2 linked regions of the Caenorhabditis elegans genome follow. The protein of the gene in region 2 purifies or fractionates together with the protein of the main gene of each other region. This does not show direct contact. Each region holds a gene or a part of one and is shown on either strand. Other genes may lie near its edges.

Region 1 (10,237 bases), on a different chromosome or scaffold from region 2:
TGTGGAGCTTGATTGATTGGTTGTGAGGTTTCAGGTACCGACTGTGCTGTGTGTCAATGCGAAGCTTTCAAATGGTCATCGTATTTTTTATTTTTAATGAAATTCAGGTATCTCCGTGAAAGTGTAAGTTTTTGTAACACCTTAATCTCCTCGTTCTCCAAAATAATTACTCTCTTCTCTTTTCACAAGTTTTAAATTGGTTATTTTTGCTGTTTTGTTCTTTTTTGACCGTTCTTTTGATCTGTCTATTTTGTTCGCGACAGATAAAAAAATAATAAATATTTATTCTAGCAAAGTCTTTGAAAGGAGAAATCTGAGAAAATTGAGATCAATCTAATACTCGTCATTGTCAGGGGTTTGATGAAATGATGATGAATTGGTCACAACTTTTTTGAGGGAAAAAATGGCTATGAAACAACTAGATTAAGGTATGTGGCGGTGTATGGTTGTTGGATACAAGTGGTGTATTTTCCATATTCTTCCGTTGCGTTGGTCCATTGGAATTTCGAACCGGAGCATGTTTTACCTGAAAGTTTGAAATACACGAATGCCTCCCCTAGAATATTTTACTTACATGCTGAGCAACTTGATCCATTGAGAGCACTCCTCGTCTTTTCTTGGGCATCTTTGAACGAGCTTGTGTATGGGAATAGAACATGGCGAAGTTAGAGACGATGACCTTGAAATTAAAATTCAAAACTGGCAACATTAATTTGAATAATAAATGGAAAACATACTGGAACTGGCAAAGCGATTGTCAATACACCAGCGAGAGCACAAATCGAACCAATCAGGCGGCCCAGATATGTATGAGGTGTTATGTCACCATAGCCAATTGTTGTCATTGTGACGATCTGGAAATTGGAATTTTGTTCTGATGTTTCATTTTTACAAGGAAAGGTTTCATTTTACTTTCAGAATTTGTAACAAGAAATATTACGAGAATGTAAAATTCAGAGAATGCGTATTGCACAACATATTTGACGCGAAAAATATCTCGCAGCGAAAACTACAGTAAATCTTTAAATGTCTACTGTAACATGTTATTATAACACTGATGTCAATTTACAGGCTGCACTTTCGAAACGAATTTCTTTTCTAATTGTGACAACGATATTTAATTTTCCTCCTATTTTTCGTTGTTTTTTTACAATGTTTCATCAGAAAAAAAAAGTGAAAAACAATGCGACAGTAGTCATTTAAAGAACTACTGTAGTTTTCGGTGCGAGATATTCTGCGCGTCAAATATGTTGCGCAATACGCATCCTCAAAACGTAGTGTTCCCGTAATACGTTATTTCCAGACATTTAATTGTTTTTTAAAGAATGTTTAGAAGTGGGCACGCAGTACAGAAATTTTTTGGAAACTATAAAAAATAGTTTTGAAAAATTGAATCATTCATCCAACTCAAAAAATAAAAAAAAGGAGAAAGGTACTTTCAAAATATTGAGTTCAAAATTTAAAGGGCTTAACGTGAGTATAAATAGACATTCTCAACTTACCGCCCACCACAATCCAATCGGAATTGACACAAATTGATTATCTTCATTACTTTCCACCCGTTCTGCATAATACACCAGTGATGCAAATACAACAACTCCCAATACCAAAAAGAATACAAGTAGCATCAATTCCTTTGCTGATGCTCGGAAGGTGTGCATCAAAATCTTGAGTCCCGAATTATGATGAGTCAATTTGAAAAGTCTCATAATACGAATGATGGAGAAGAACTCAAGATCTGCAGTTGCTCCAAACATGCTTGATAATAAATCAATGTAGAATGTCAAAGTGGCAACAATGTCGATAATGTTCACAGGTGCACGAAGATATTCAAAACGAGATGGACATGAAGAGAATCTTGCCAGAATTTCAATCGTGAACCAAATGTTACATATTGTTTCTATGTACTGAAAAGTATAAGGAATATTAAATATTCAATCTTTCTGTATACTGTACCATAAAAGTTGGATGAGGCCTAGAATTGGCCTTATCAATGTTTATCTGTGCAGGATGTATTCGTGAAGATGTACTCCGATGATTCCGCGAAAAGTTTCCAAATGGAGCTAATTCAGGGATCCTCAAACCAGGATGGGTTTTCAGACAGAAAACAATGATGGCTGTTATCAGAAAAAATACAGAAATAGCTGCTATAAATTGTGCTGATCTAGATGAATTTGGTTCATCGAAAAGCCTCCAAATCCGAGGTTTGATCTTCTGCCAGGCACTGAGACTATCATTATGATAGTCATCCTCCCAACCAAATCGTTTGTACAGTTCCTGAAAATTTCGAGTTTTAATTTTGCCAATCGTGACTTTTTTAGACCAAGCCTATTGTCAAATTGGTAAAAAATAGAATTTTTCTGACTATCTGAGAGATATCTGGCACCAATATTTACTTCTATAATAGTTACTTTAAAATCTGAAGTATAGCGAGTTTGAAACCTCGAAAAATTTGAAGTATTCCTATTATAGTGTTTTTTTTTTGAAATTTTGAAGCTTCATTTTAAACTTTAAAATGAAGCTTCAAAATTTCAAAAAAAACTATAATAGGAACACTTCAAATTTAAAACTGTGCCTTTAAAATTTAAAGGCACGGTTTTTTTCTCGGTGGGTCTCGCCACGATCTCATTCGATTACTTTTTACTCCACAATGTGCAGACATAGCAACCAAATTCACGTTGTACTTAGTATGCCGGTTTTTTTTTGATTAGGAGTCGCAAAAACTTTTATATTGCTTTGTAAAATGAATCATAATGGATAAAAAATGTTCTAAAATTCTGCATTTTTCTCTTGTTATACAAAAAGCTTACAGGTCCTTCTGTTTGATCAACTTCAATATCCAACTCGTCTAATGTTTTGAGCACATCTTGTGTATCTCTTGTACCAGATAATGTCATCCAACAGCATGGTTCGCATTCATTTGAATCAAGTCCCCAATACTAAAAAATAATGTATTTTCTTATCTTTTAACAATTATCTTCTTACCTTTAACTCCTCTTCAAATAATGGTCCACACACGTCAAGAGGATAATGCAATTTGCCCGTTCTTAAACTCAAAAAAATTATCGAAAATGCGATTTGTGCCTTGTTACCTATAATAATTTAGTATTTGCGCAAAAACTCCGGGATGTCTATCGAAAAAATACTCGTTTAAAACTGGATCATAATTGGCCAAATTTGTAGTCAACCGGGATAGTCTGAATAAAAAAAATCATGCTAGAAAGAAATATGGAATAATTGTTACTTTACCGTGTAGCTGGAATTTTCTTAAGCGTATGCTTATAGGTTTCGTGTCGAACACCACCCACGTTGAGTATGATCCGGTATTCACTGTCCATGACAGTCTGTCTGTAATTATTAGAAAATTGTTTCTGTAAGCAAATGAAAAAAAAACAACGTTAACTGACTAGTGAGCAATGTATAATTGATGTTTTTTTGGATTTCAAAAACCAAGTTTTTCAGTCAGGCCTACTAGTTAACTTTTAAGCCTTTCACTAGACGTAATTCAGTATGTTGTATATCCTTCGAAGGACGCTTAATCTCAGCTAAATATACAGAAAGTGATATCAAACTTAGAAAGCTGTTGTTGAGAAAGCAAGACGTACATAAAAATGCACATAAGCCCGAACATAATGACGGAAAACATATCACTTTGGAGTCGACTACGGTAGGAGGAGGGGGATGTTCACAAAAGTTATCCGTAATGCATCTAAATCGTAAATTTGTAAGTTTGTTTCTGGTGGCTCAAGAGATCTGGCACAAAAGCAGCATCTGGAGCGTGATGAATTGTTGTGTTGAGACCGGATAATAACAATCATAAAAGCGTGCCACCAGAGCAGAGAATGAAGGGCCAGAGGAGCAGTCTTATTTTTTGCCGCAGCCGACGCCACACAACCAACACCACCCCAGTTGGAGCCATATCTCCTATGTCTCTCCCGTCCCACCCTTCTTGCTTCCATTGTTCCCGCTCTTGTATGTTTGTGGTCCCTTCCGCTTCCTCATTAAAATTTGATCACATACGCCAAAATGAGAGACAAGACGAAAGGAGAGGCGTCGTGAGATGTATAGTTACAGATAGTTGTTAAGATTGGGAGGCTCGGTACTCGTGAAAAAGTTCCGAAAATTTTGAATTGATATGGGTAAAATAAGTTTTCTGCATTTTTCTAGTATCACTACAAAGGTTTTGAGGAAATTCTTCTAGGTAAATCCACAAAACTGCTAATTTCAGTGTGCATATCATTTTAGAGCAAAAATTTATTTTTAAATGTAGAAAAACATCTATTCGATTTGAAAAAAAAGAAGTTTGAAGTTAACCTATAATATCAAAAATATCCACAGTTAGTTTAGAAAGTAAGTTGTACGGATACTTATTGCGAGGCAGATTCCCAAGTTTACAATTTCAACAATAAACTTTCGACAATAAAACAAAAATAAATTTATTTTAGTTCTTTTGGAGGTCACGTTTTAAAAACAATTTTTTTTAAACCTACAGATTTATTTTAATAAAAATGCTCTATTAGAAAACGATTCAAATTTAAGAAAATGATTTTCATGGATAAATATTTGTTTACATTATACTCTTATAAACTCACATAACAACTCAAAACATATTTTTTGGTCGATCTTGATTATGAACATTTTTTGAGTAAGCTATTTTTCTTCGGATAATGTATAATTTTATAATTTCCTACGTCACTATTTCTATAGATTTTTGAATATGACTCCATGTGGTTCTTTGTATTTTTTCGCTCTGATCAGCTATATTTATTAAATTCTATTTTTTATTACAAAATACACCGTAAAATTGTATCAACCAGATAGAGGTGTTCAATGTTTTTGCCGGATTGTTTTTCACATTCCAAAAATACAATTAACTTCCGAAATCAGAAAACTACAATTGTACGCCTTTTGGTCTGGAAACGATTGCATTATCATTACTAAACATTTTGGCAAGAAAAAACGAAACGTTGAACTTATAAACCCCACACCCAAATACCACAAAGAAAGTCCAAATAGTCTCAAAACACGAAAAGCAAGTACCTATTGAAATTTTGATTCAAAGCAAGCAAAGCGAGAGGGAAATGTGACCGAAAATATTTCAAATCCACATTTTTCCCCAGCAACAGCCAGCTAATTCACTTTTTGTTGACTTTTCTAGCAAAAGAACTCGGTCACCTAGAAACAGTTGGACAGAAAAAGCGAACATCAACAAATTATTTTTTTGAATTGTCAAAAGTGTTGCGATGGCGGTGAAAATAGACATTCCAACAAGTGGATGATGAGCCGATCCTCTGCAGAGCAAAAAGAGAGATGAGACGAAATAAAGAGAGATTATCGTTCACGGGTAATTTGATATGTTTTGTCACATACTCTAGATTGCAGGACAACGAAATAGAGAGTAGGAAGAGGACTTCGAGAAAGGAGGAAAAAGAACAAGAAGTAGTAGTAGAAGAAGAAGGTGGTACATGGATCATGATGAGACACACAGGACACGGACAGAGAAGACTCGGCTTAATGTACGTAATTATCGATGGTGCCAACTGAAGAAAAAGGAAAAGAGTTACTTCTTGTTAGACAATTAGATGCTTGAGTTATCTTGAAAAATTTTTTGTTCATTTATATATTTTTTAGATTTCGTATCGTTTCAGGCTATTTTGATTATAATCAGTTATTCCTAATGTAAGAAAATACTCCGTTTTTTTTTGAAATTTAGCTGTGTAGCTGTTCTTCGATTTGTTTTACTCTAATTTTGGAAGAACTGGCAACTTTTTCCAACAATGCGGTTTTTTTTGAGTGATTTTAAGAATTGCTGCAGGTTTGAATGTTCTAGAATGTTCAAATACAAAAATTGAAACGCATTTAAAATTTTGAAACCAATTTTGAGTTATCTCCACTTTTTGACTGAGATTTATAACAATTTAACAAAATTTTTGCAAAATTGATTTGCAAAGTTTGAATTTTTAGGACTATACGAGCGGTTTCAAATCATTTCCCTACTCTCAATACTCCATCTTCAAATAAGAAGTTCAGATTAAAATTATATTTCTGTCCAAAGAAGTGCCTTTCTAGATTTAGTTCCAATTTTCGAGAATATTTGTGACTTGGGGTAAACAAATGATTTTTGTTGAGCAAGATTGTAACTGGTGCTGTGGCTCATATGGAGATATCATCAGAAAATACAATTTGGGTGGCCGCATTGGAGTGTGAAAAAAGGAAAAAGAGAGGAAGAGAAATAGAGAGACAGAGAGGGAGAGAATAGTGGAAAAACCGAATCATGAAGAATTTGTATGAAAAGTGAGAAGGTCAGCAGCAAATTGAGAATCTGACACTACTAGATTAGACGAAAAAGCAAAACATAGGAAATAACGTGCAGTAAGAACGAAAATTAGAATCTGAAGAAGCATTTTTTATAAGAACCTAATAGTAAGATTTTCAAGATCTCGAAGATTTTCAAGCGATACTTCCGGGCGAAAAAAGAAAATACTTGTGAGCAAATATTTATATTCATGGCTACATTTAGAATCTCTCCTAGATTCACCTCCACCCTCACTAGTCTTCCATCCCATTAATTGCTGCTCATCAAAGGACACGGAAATGTACTTTGTCACTTCTCTTTTGGAAGGTGTCGACTGAAAAAAAAAGAATGCGCATGACGAGAGTGCGGGAAAGAAAGAATAAAGGAAATGAAGGAGATGTGGGCCACCGAGGAAAGGAAGCAGTTGGTGCAAAAATGAGTGGACACACCGGATTATTACCCTTTTATTATTATTGTTATTCCAGATATTTTTGAAGAAAATGGTTTATTACTTTTGTCAGGGTAGAAGCTAAGAAAAATAAGATTTACGCGAGCAAGTTGTTAGAAAGCATCGGGGTTAAAAATCCAGCTGTAAAAAATGTTTTGAAGTTTAGATTTTAAATAGTCCAAGTTTAAGAGGTTCTTATAAAACTTTTAGAAAAATAACTGTAATTTATAACACCTTGTAAAACTATGTACCGTGTTTTCTATATTAGTATTGCAGCCCTAGGAGCAAATCGAAAGTTAGTGTTGCGCCCTCTAATACACTGACTTGTTGTAAGATCAGCCGTATTTTGCAGAAATCTTGGTAAAATTTATGAGTTTTCAGATAACGATAAACCGGTTCAGATAACTCATCGTGGGAAATAATGGTTAAAAAAATCCAAAGTATTATTTACAGTGACACATTATAATAAAAAATTATGAATTTTAAAATTGTTAAGCAAAATTCACTCAACTAGCTCACAACACTACAAACACAATTACGAACACGGCATGCAAGTTTTTAAGCCGAAAATCTAGAGTTCACAATTTTTGAATGCTGTCGCCCATTTTAGACTCACAATGATTGGCAAAAAAAGGACAATGAGCTTTGTAACCTGCCCTTTTCTCAATTTAATTTTTATTCTCTCATCTTCTTTTTTTGCAGAGAGAGAGAGAGCATCAGTATATCTAATTCATTTTCACTTTTTTTCCACTGCTCCCATTCATTTTGCAAATTGCTTTTTCATTTTTTGTTGAAATTTCTTCCTGTTTGAAACACTTACCCAAATGCGGTCGACGGACTTGTTCCATTATTGTTCCGTCGTCGAATTGACATTGACGGGGGGACGATCCAAAAATACTAAATCAAGAAGAAATGAAAAAGAGCAGAAATTGAAACGAAGAATATTTCGATCAAGAATGAAAAATTGAAGTTGTGAGACATGAAAATCAACGAAAAAACTAGGAAAAGGTGTCCTGGCAACAATTCGGAAAGAGGCCTCCGGCGACGGCAATAAATGAGAAAGCAACAAACAAGGCTTTTCAAAAAAAGTTTCTTTCTTGTGTCACCCCATTTTCTGACAAAATAACTGGGAGATTTTTTTTTAAAGGAAATGCAAAATGCAAAATATTTGTTCAAAGTTGAATCTGTCATTCGGCATTTTGCAAAATGTGTTCAAGCTATAATTTTTGTAAAATGGAAAAATTGAACGTCTGAGTTTCGATAATTGTTTTAGTGGTCAGATGCTGTTTCACAGGATATCAATTTCAGTGTCTCAGAACACTTTTGCTATTAAAAGTTGATATATTTTGAGGAAAATTCCCGGAAACGGGGGAAATGTTTTACCAGGCAAGTTTTAGGTTTATTGAAAAAGCAAGTTAGAATTTTAACCTACAGAGAACAATTTTTTAGTAACATCTTCACTTCTAATTTTATAATCTTTTACCGTATATCTTCTATTAGTTTGGCCTCCCTATTAGACTGGCACTCCCTATTAGTATTGCCCTTCAAAGACCTTCCGAAAATTAGTATTGCATTCCCTATTAGTGTTGCACTCCCTAATAGTCTTGCACCTACTTTTTTTTGGTGCAAACCCTCCTTACTAATTTTAAGATTTTAATAACATTTTTTGAATATTTTGCAACAATTTATAAGAAAATTTTTATGAGATTGAAGTTATTGTACCTTTTTGTTGCAATTTCAATCAAATTTTCTATATTTCCAAATTAAAGTTGGAGTTTTTTCAAGTAAATACTAGTAAGCCCCAACACAGAAAAATGTTCTGAAAAATAGTATTTCACTCCCTATTAGTCTTGCACTCCCTAATAGTATTGCAAGCGGGAAGACCTTCGAAAAATAGTATTGCAGCCATATTAATAGAAGAAATACGGTAAATTTTTAAACTTTGGAAACGAACGAGAAAACGTCGAAACTTTTAGCTTGAGGTTATCATTTTCAGTCGAGGTTTTGAAGAATACTAATTTTTTGTTAAATTTATTTCTATAGACAAAAATAATAAAAAAATATTGCTTAATTTCCCAAAACGAAAGTTCAATTTAATGCAAAATCAAAAACAAGCTTGAACATAGCGATACATTTTAATAATCAGCTAATAAAATTTTTATTTTGGAAGTGACTGCGAATAACAAAAGTGCAAGAGAGTGTTGAATATGTATATATCATATTAATTTGTCAACTAGTCTCAAAAAATATCTTATTATCAAAATTATGACGTTTTTATGACAGCAAAGTACGTGGGAAACTTTAAAACTAGAAAGCAAGCACCTAAAAATATATGTGAATTAAAATGAACAGTGATCTTAAAGCGGAAAAAGAGAAAACCGAGAACTGAGATATATCTAATGAATCGAGTAAAATGTATAATTTGGGTGGGTTTCAGTTGACAAATTCTTAGATGAGAAGGATGTATCAGTGCTTTCACCAAAAAAAGAATGAAAGAAGAGGAGGAGCAAGCGGTGGAGATATGTGTGCGAATGTGAATGTGAATAAATTTGATTAATTGGCACGAGAAAGTCAGCTATTCGGTCGCCATCGTCGCAAGCACTTCAGATCAAAACGGACACGGAGAAGAGCTGGAAGTGACAAGCACTTTTGGAAATGTACTTTTCTGTTTCTTTACTTTTATTTTCTTCATTGAGAGTTTCGAAAAGCTGGAGACATAGAAAACAGTAAATTGATTGATATACAGGTATGCAATTGTTTTACAGGATTCGTCTTTATTTATAGTTGATTGTTAGTTGGCAAATGATTAGTTCAAGAAAGTTAACAATTTTTGTTTCTGAAATTATTTTATAGCATCAGCTTAAAGTTCAACTTATCACTCAACAATTTCATAGACCTACTGGAATCTGAAAAACGTTTTTTAATTACCAAAGTGGTATACACTAAAACTGTAATTTTTTGAAATTTTCAAAAATAATTTCGACAAAAAGATTTGTAAACTAAACTTCAAAAATGATCGTCAAATTTATTTTCATTTTTTTCGGGATGTTTTGAGTGGCATTTAGAAAATGACGCTGAAGCAAAATATTTGACAAATTTCGAAAATAATCCATGTTTTTTTTTCCAGAGAAACTAAACTGCATAAAAGCTTTACTATGAAAAATATAGGCAGTTATATAATTTAGACTTCTCAATATGATTTAAAGTGAGAAACTACATTCTGAAATTTGGAATTTTTGGAAATATAGAAATGAACAGGTATTATTTAAAAAACTAAGCTTTTTCAAAAAAATTTGTGTTACTTTTTCGTGAAATTTAGTTTGCAACACAAGTTAGTTTAATTTTGCAAAAAAAAAAGAAAAAAGAAAGCAAATTTTTTGTTTGAAGTGAGATGAGGAAAAGAAGCATGTAGAAATTAATTTCAAATATTGCTCTTGTCCGCCTTTGGCCTCTAATTTTCAACGCCAGACTATATTTTCAGTATTTTTTTTCCT
Region 2 (6,722 bases):
CACTAATAAAAATTTTAAATTTTTATTCGTCTCTATTTTGAAAATGTATTTTTTTCATAAATTAGAGACACTAATAAAAATTTTAAATTTTTATTCGTCTCTATTTTGAAAATGTATTTTCTTTATAAAATAGAGACACCAATAAAAATTAAATTTTTATTCGTCTCTATTGTGAAAATGTATTTTCTTTATAAAATAGAGACACTAATAAAAATTTTAAATTTTTATTCGTCTCTATTTTGAAAATATATTTTCTTGATGAAATAGAGACACTAATAAAAATTAAATTTTTATTCGTCTCTATTTTGAAAATATATTTGCTTGATAAAATAGAGACACCAATAAAATTTTTAAAATTTTATTCGTCTCTATTTTGAAAATGTATTTTTTTCATAAATTAGAATTAGTCAGTGGGATGGTCAGTGGCATGGTCAGTGGGATGGTCAGTGGGATGGTCAGTGGGATGGTCAGTGGCAGAGCGGTTAGTTTATATAACTGGAACTTTGGGTACTCTCCGATCAAAATGTTTTCCAGGTGCTTCGTCGAATGTGGCTGCTCAATCGAAGGTACCCAAAAATGCTATGGCTGGTTTCGATGGAGTAATTTTGTACTTTTGGTCAAAGAAAGATGGAAAACGTTTCTGTAGAATCTCAACAGAGTGTTGATCAAAAAATCGGAGAAACTGCCTACACTTGAGCAGAACTGAGTTTGACACATAACCGATATACTTTTGGAAATGCAGCTTGTTGTTTACGGAAATGTCAAAGTCTTTAACTGAGTCGTTTTTGGTAATGTATGTTCAGATTAAATTTCAGGCGAGATGTACTCGCCGTCGGTTAATGACTTAAAAGGAAATGTTTTATGATAATAATTGGAATTATTGAGACTGGATGGGAGTTCTGTTTTATAGAGAAATGTAATTTGAAATTGGTGCTTCGTAACATCACTAATATCAGTTTCTGTCGAATATGAAATTTTTTTTTATTTTTTTTTTCGAAATAAATATGAATGCACCGTCTGTTTTTAACAATTTCTACCATATTCAATCTGCTACAAATACTCTCTATGTCTGTTTCAACGTCATCTGACTTTGCTTTGCTTTTTGGTCGTTCATAACAGTTGTTGAGAGTGTGAGTGTAAGAAGCGATGACCCAAACAGTTTCTCAATAATTTTCCATCTATCCAACAGGGATTCAACACGTTAACCTGAAACATTGTATTCATTTTAAATCGGGCATTGGTCTAGTTTGAATTTGAAGTGTTAAACATCAACTTTGAACAGTTAGATAGTGACTCTAGAGCAACGAGCGCCCGATACGAAACATTATCAAAGAAACGTATATTTCAGAACTAGAAACATAGCAAATTCATGCTTTACCAACTGCTTAATTCGCTTTCCTTCCTTTCAATTTTTCGCACATTCGCGTGCCTGTCAACTGCCTGATAGGCTTTCTGCCTTCTTTCTATAACCCCCATCATGCCACACACGCATTTTGTGTGGCATGATGGGGGCTATAGAAAGATCCGAAAAAAATGTCCAAAAACTACACAAACACCGCGGTTGAGATCACTTTTTTTCGCTTCCAATTGGGTTACAGTGAATTCTGTGGAATATATCAAGATATTGAAAACCAAATTGCCATTTTAAGTTTTAAAAATTTAAAATGGATACATTGTCAACTTAAGCATAAAGGATCGTTGGCTGGCAAGGAAGAAAAATCACAAAATTTGGGGGAGCTTACTTTTTTGACTTTATAAATTTTCACCAAATGTCACTTCCGTCACCGGTAACCAATCACAAAAAAATTTTCATGAAATGTTTTTTAGAAACAAGGATACTTTTATTATATAATAATGAAAATAAATCATTGGATAAATCTCATTTAAAAATCTCAATTAAGCTAAATTGAGCCTACTTGCGCGCCACGGTCGACTGGGTTTTTGAGTTTCTTGAGGTCTGTGCGGCTGTAGGTAAATGTTAAGTTTTATATGTCATTATGTTCGATTTTTTCTATTCAATAAAATGTATATATTAACTTGTTTTGATCGCTGTCCAAGAAAAAGTTACAGTTCCGTAAAGTGGTCGCCATAATTATGGACCACCCAGTAGTTATCTGAATCAGTTGATTAGTTTCCCTTCTTTTCGAAACTTTGATAATTTCTGGTAGAGCAGAGTCAACCAAATGAACATCATATAAATACAAATATTTATTCAGTTGATAGTTTTTTGGTGTATCATTTCACTAAAAAGAGCTATGACTTGATGGGTGATTACATATGAATATATGTAAGAACAAATAGTAGAACAGTGTAGGTAATGGTTTCGAGTTTGATGTTTTTTCGTTATTCTCCAAATCAGGAAAGTGTGAATAAAGTCATTACTGGTTTGAACTGGTCTTGAACTCTTTAAGTGGCTCTTGAAGTGGATCTCGGTTCAAATTTTGACTTTGTCACACACTAGTGAAAAGTACATTAGTAAATGAGTCTCTCAGTAAAAGCCAACTTTTGGCAATTTCCGATGGCGACAGTTTTTATTTTGGTATACATCAAACACAAACACTTTAATCCCTTCTTTCTCCATACTCTATACTTCCATTCAATGTCCTCTCCGATGATAATAAAAAACATGTGAGTATGTCTGCGTCTCTTCCAGAATCTGCGCACACAAATATGTGCTGCTATGGAAATGCATGAAAATCAAGGGAGGAAAGCAGTCTTCGAGAGCAGTGGCGCCAGGGCTCGTTTGTGCACCACGTCGTCTTCTTCTCATCGATTAGTGTGTGACACCTACTACAACTCATCATATTTCTGAAAGTTCATTTGACCTAATCATTTGTTTCACTTTCTGTCTGATCGTTTTAATTGATTAGTTTTTGGCGTTATTAACTCTGACTGACAGTACTCTAATCTTTCCATGCACAAAAATATCAGTCCCACGTGCCAAGAAGGCATTCGAGAAGCATGCATCACTTTGAAAAATGCTTGTGATCCCCAGTGAGTTTTGATATTTTGTGACAATTAATCGGGGAAAAAAGACAAACAAAAAGTCAAACTTTGGTATGAAAATCTCTTAATGAAAAGTGGCAATTTTCAGAGTACTTGACAAGGCTGCAATCCGAATGAGAGAGTACGAAAATGAGTTCGGTCGAATACTTTATACAATATCAATTTTAATAATGTTCTCATTTGTCATTATTCTCCTAATGGTACGATCAATTCGGAGAACACAATCAACAGTTGAGGTACGTTTGGAATTTCACAGTAGACAATCGAACTGTATGAAATTGTATGAAATTAGAGAGGACCGTAGGTTTTTGTATGTTGTTTGAAAACAAAAACCCGGTCAAATCAGAAGTTTTGTTACAAAATTTTAATAAATGTAGAAATTTTGAAAAAATGCTAATAACTTCAGTATTAAGCTACATGAAGTTCTCTATATTTCAGATGGATTCGCTCCTTGATGCTATGCGAATTCGAGAAGAATTAGAAATACAGGAACGTAAAAGAAGACGATTGATGAGAGCAAAAACCCAGGTATATTTATGAAAATACATCGAAAAAAAATTAATTCAAAGTTGTAGGTGACTGCATGGCTCGTGAACAAAAACAAAGAGAAAGGACCAGAAAAGCGAAAAGATAGCGAATGGAAGCCACTTCCAAATGGAACAAGACCAAGAGGACATTACAGGTAATTAGCAGAATTTTTTAGAGAAGTTATAATCAGGGAAACTAAAGAATTAACAGAAATGGTTTTCTATTTGCTTTTATATAACCTTTAATGAATAATTATAATTACAGCATATCAACAGTCACATCAGACATTCCGGAGATTGTAGTAAGTGCTGACGACTGCATACATTCTGATTTTCCAAATCGTCCACATACTCCTGCAATCTCAATGATTTACGATTTTGGAATTGCGTCACCGGATTTAATAGAGCCCGATAGGTGAGAAAAGATGAAAACAGATTAGTAGCCAAATATGAGACACTACTAAAAAATGGCTTTTTGGTGGTTTTTATAATATTCTAGCGGTGAAACGTTTATGAAAAATGTCGAAAGTCTTATTTATAAATGCAAAATAACAACACAATCGTATTGAATTTGACCACACCGGCGTTCTAATAGATGAAACTTAAAAATGAAACATTTCATACAATAACAAAACATATTTCAGCAAATTCAAACGAAACCTCAAAGAATAATATATTTCAGCCGTAAGCCATCAATTTCCTCTTCAACAGCAATTCCCATGTCATCTTCGTCATCTTCATCAATGAATTCATTGATTGAACCAAATATGAATTCAATAAAATCAAATCCTCGAACATATTCGCTTGACACAAACGCCTCCACGTCATCGAGAACTCCTCGTGTTGATTGTGACGATAAATCATTTAGCTTAGACGTGTAATTTTGTTCTCATTTTTATATGCATTACTTATTTATCTTCACCATCTTCATTATTTTGTCCTGTGATCGTCAAATCGATTCGATTTTCAATCAACTTGTCGTATATTTACACTGCTTATGTACATTGGATGATGACTAACAGTAATTCTTTTTTTCTGGTTAAAATTGAAAAAAAGAGAAATGAAGTATTTTAGAAACCGATAAAGAAAATGCTTATTTCAAACCACCGACTCAAGAGGCAATATCGAGACCGCTTGTCATTGATGGATGCAACATTGGAAGAAGTGCCTCTGGATATGCTAGAACGTGGGTTGTCCAGAATATTTTCTCAATTCAATGCTTCCAATCATTACAAACTTCTGATATTGTTGAAAATTGCTTGTTTTCAGTCCACTCATTAAAATTTCGATGATTTTGAGCAAGCTCTTTTGAGCAAGCAATCTTAATGCCCCACCTTGGTTTTTGACGCCAACTTATGTCATAAGTTTGATCTAAAAACAGCAGTTTGGTTCAGAAATTGGCAAATATTTATGCAAATTGTGCCAGAAATGAATAAAAGCATGCCCTTGGTAGATGTCTGGTAGATGGTAGAGATTCCGTGGACACGTGGGAAATTAAGTCGTGGCTCTGTTCTTTTAATGAATTACAAAAAATAATACGCACAAATTTCTGTATTTTTTTCAGTCACGTGGATTGTGCTGGCCTCGTCTCCGTTGTCCGATGGCTTCTTATTCGTAGATTTGACGTAATAATTTTTTAGTTTTCTTTAATTTCCCAATTACAAATTTCAGGTGACTGTTTTCCTGCCTGTTGTTTACAACAATGTTAATAATTATAACTCGAAAAATGCGGAACTACTTGCAGTAAGATAATCTTTGTTCTCTAGGCTTTTTGGATTCTGATTTTTGATTTTCTCAGAAATTGGAGCAACTTGGTATTGTGACATTCACGCCGGCTAGAAGTGGTCGGGGACTACGAAAGTGAGTCAGAGTCGGAATGAAGTCAATGTGGGCAAGTCACGTGTTTTTCAGGGCGTTTATCAATTATGATGATTTGTATGTGGTTTCGTATGCAGCCAGACATGGAGGTACAATTGTCAGTGGAGACAAGTTCAAAGATATTCTCAATCAACCGTGTTACAGGTAACATTCCTATCATATTGTAAACTAGACTAGGACTTTTTCGGCTTTTTTAAAGCTATGCATTAAATTCAAATTTAATATTACACTGGTTTTAGTGACTTCCACCACGTCATCAGAAACCGAACAGTCGATGTAAAATTCCGACCGCTAACACTCGATTTCGTCGAATATCAATCAGATCGGTTTTATCGACATGCTCCCGAACTATTCACATGTAAGAAATTATTTCTATTTTTATAATCGAACATCATCTAGAATCTTGTTATTTTCAGATGAAAACACTAGTCAACGAACCGAATCTTTGCGTCAACGACTATTTGCGTTGCCTCATGAACCGGACTATAATCTTGTGAAAAATTCGAAACGACAAGTGACTGATGAGAGGAGAGCTTACTTGTGTGCTGAACTTGAAGCTATTCTCATTTCAATGAGTTATGCAGCCGGGAAAATGTTTCGAGATGTTGCAGAATTGCCATGTATTGATAATGTATGTGTACTTGTCCAATTGCCAAAAAATAAGGAAATATTTCAGTGTTTTCATGGATTAAGAGTGGAAGATGTTGCTCCGAAGAAATTTGCGGATGCATTCTACAGAAAATATCCGAAACGAGAAGGAAGATGTGATTTACTTCAAGAATGGGTTATGGAGCCTGTTGTAGAAGTTTCTGAGAAACAAACAAATAGCAATGAACTAAGTGATGATGTTCTTGTTCCAACTCCATTGCCTCTCCCGGAAAAGTCTAGTCAATCTGTCGTGAATGTTAATAAAGGAAAAATCGAACTTCCAAGAGATCATTCCCTTGGGTCGTTGCTTCAATGGTTCACACTGGCTGAAGAAGCAAATAAAATCAAGAAATAATAATCGAAATATTGATTTTTGATTGAGATCTGTTTCATTTTTACAAACAATTCGATAAACGTTTCGATTTTTTGCATGTTTTCTTTTTTCTATCTCTCGATTGATATCTTTGAATGACCTGACGGGTGCACGTGTTGAGACAGCTGTCGTTCTGAGAGGACAGGAGACTTTAAACTATTCAGTTAGGATCTCTTTAACATCAGATACTTTTGCTTTTTTGCTCTTTCTTGTTTTCTCGAAGATTCGCAGAAGAATCAAATTTGCTGGTCTGATACATCTTATCATTTCGGTCTTGATAAGAAGTTGAA

The links.
Region 1: the proteins of mps-1 (region 2) and shw-3 purify together in Caenorhabditis elegans (affinity purification with western blotting, with the first as the bait; one study listed by BioGRID). This does not show direct contact.

What each region holds. Positions count from the first base shown.
Region 1 is NC_003283.11:12,972,994-12,983,230, forward strand, and holds shw-3 (BTB domain-containing protein), read right to left. Parts: upstream 7,617-10,237; coding exon 7,564-7,616; intron 3,349-7,563; coding exon 3,250-3,348; intron 3,198-3,249; coding exon 3,093-3,197; intron 3,047-3,092; coding exon 2,986-3,046; intron 2,940-2,985; coding exon 2,811-2,939; intron 2,740-2,810; exon of another isoform or gene 2,590-2,739; intron 2,278-2,589; coding exon 1,957-2,277; intron 1,908-1,956; coding exon 1,503-1,907; intron 1,317-1,502; exon of another isoform or gene 1,167-1,316; intron 855-1,166; coding exon 738-854; intron 680-737; coding exon 575-679; intron 527-574; coding exon 419-526; downstream 1-418. Other genes in the region: pnn-1 (Pinin/SDK/MemA protein domain-containing protein), read left to right, coding at 1-16.
Region 2 is NC_003280.10:6,290,344-6,297,065, reverse strand, and holds mps-1 (MiRP K channel accessory Subunit), read left to right. Parts: upstream 1-2,704; 5' UTR 2,705-2,914; coding exon 2,915-2,994; intron 2,995-3,094; coding exon 3,095-3,242; intron 3,243-3,444; coding exon 3,445-3,534; intron 3,535-3,581; coding exon 3,582-3,688; intron 3,689-3,798; coding exon 3,799-3,948; intron 3,949-4,215; coding exon 4,216-4,414; 3' UTR 4,415-4,541; coding exon of another isoform or gene 4,542-4,554; 3' UTR 4,555-4,607; downstream 4,608-6,722. Other genes in the region: nyn-3 (RNase NYN domain-containing protein), read left to right, coding at 4,542-4,554, 4,608-4,719, 5,098-5,158, 5,205-5,276, 5,332-5,393, 5,445-5,555, 5,651-5,769, 5,828-6,042 and 1 more.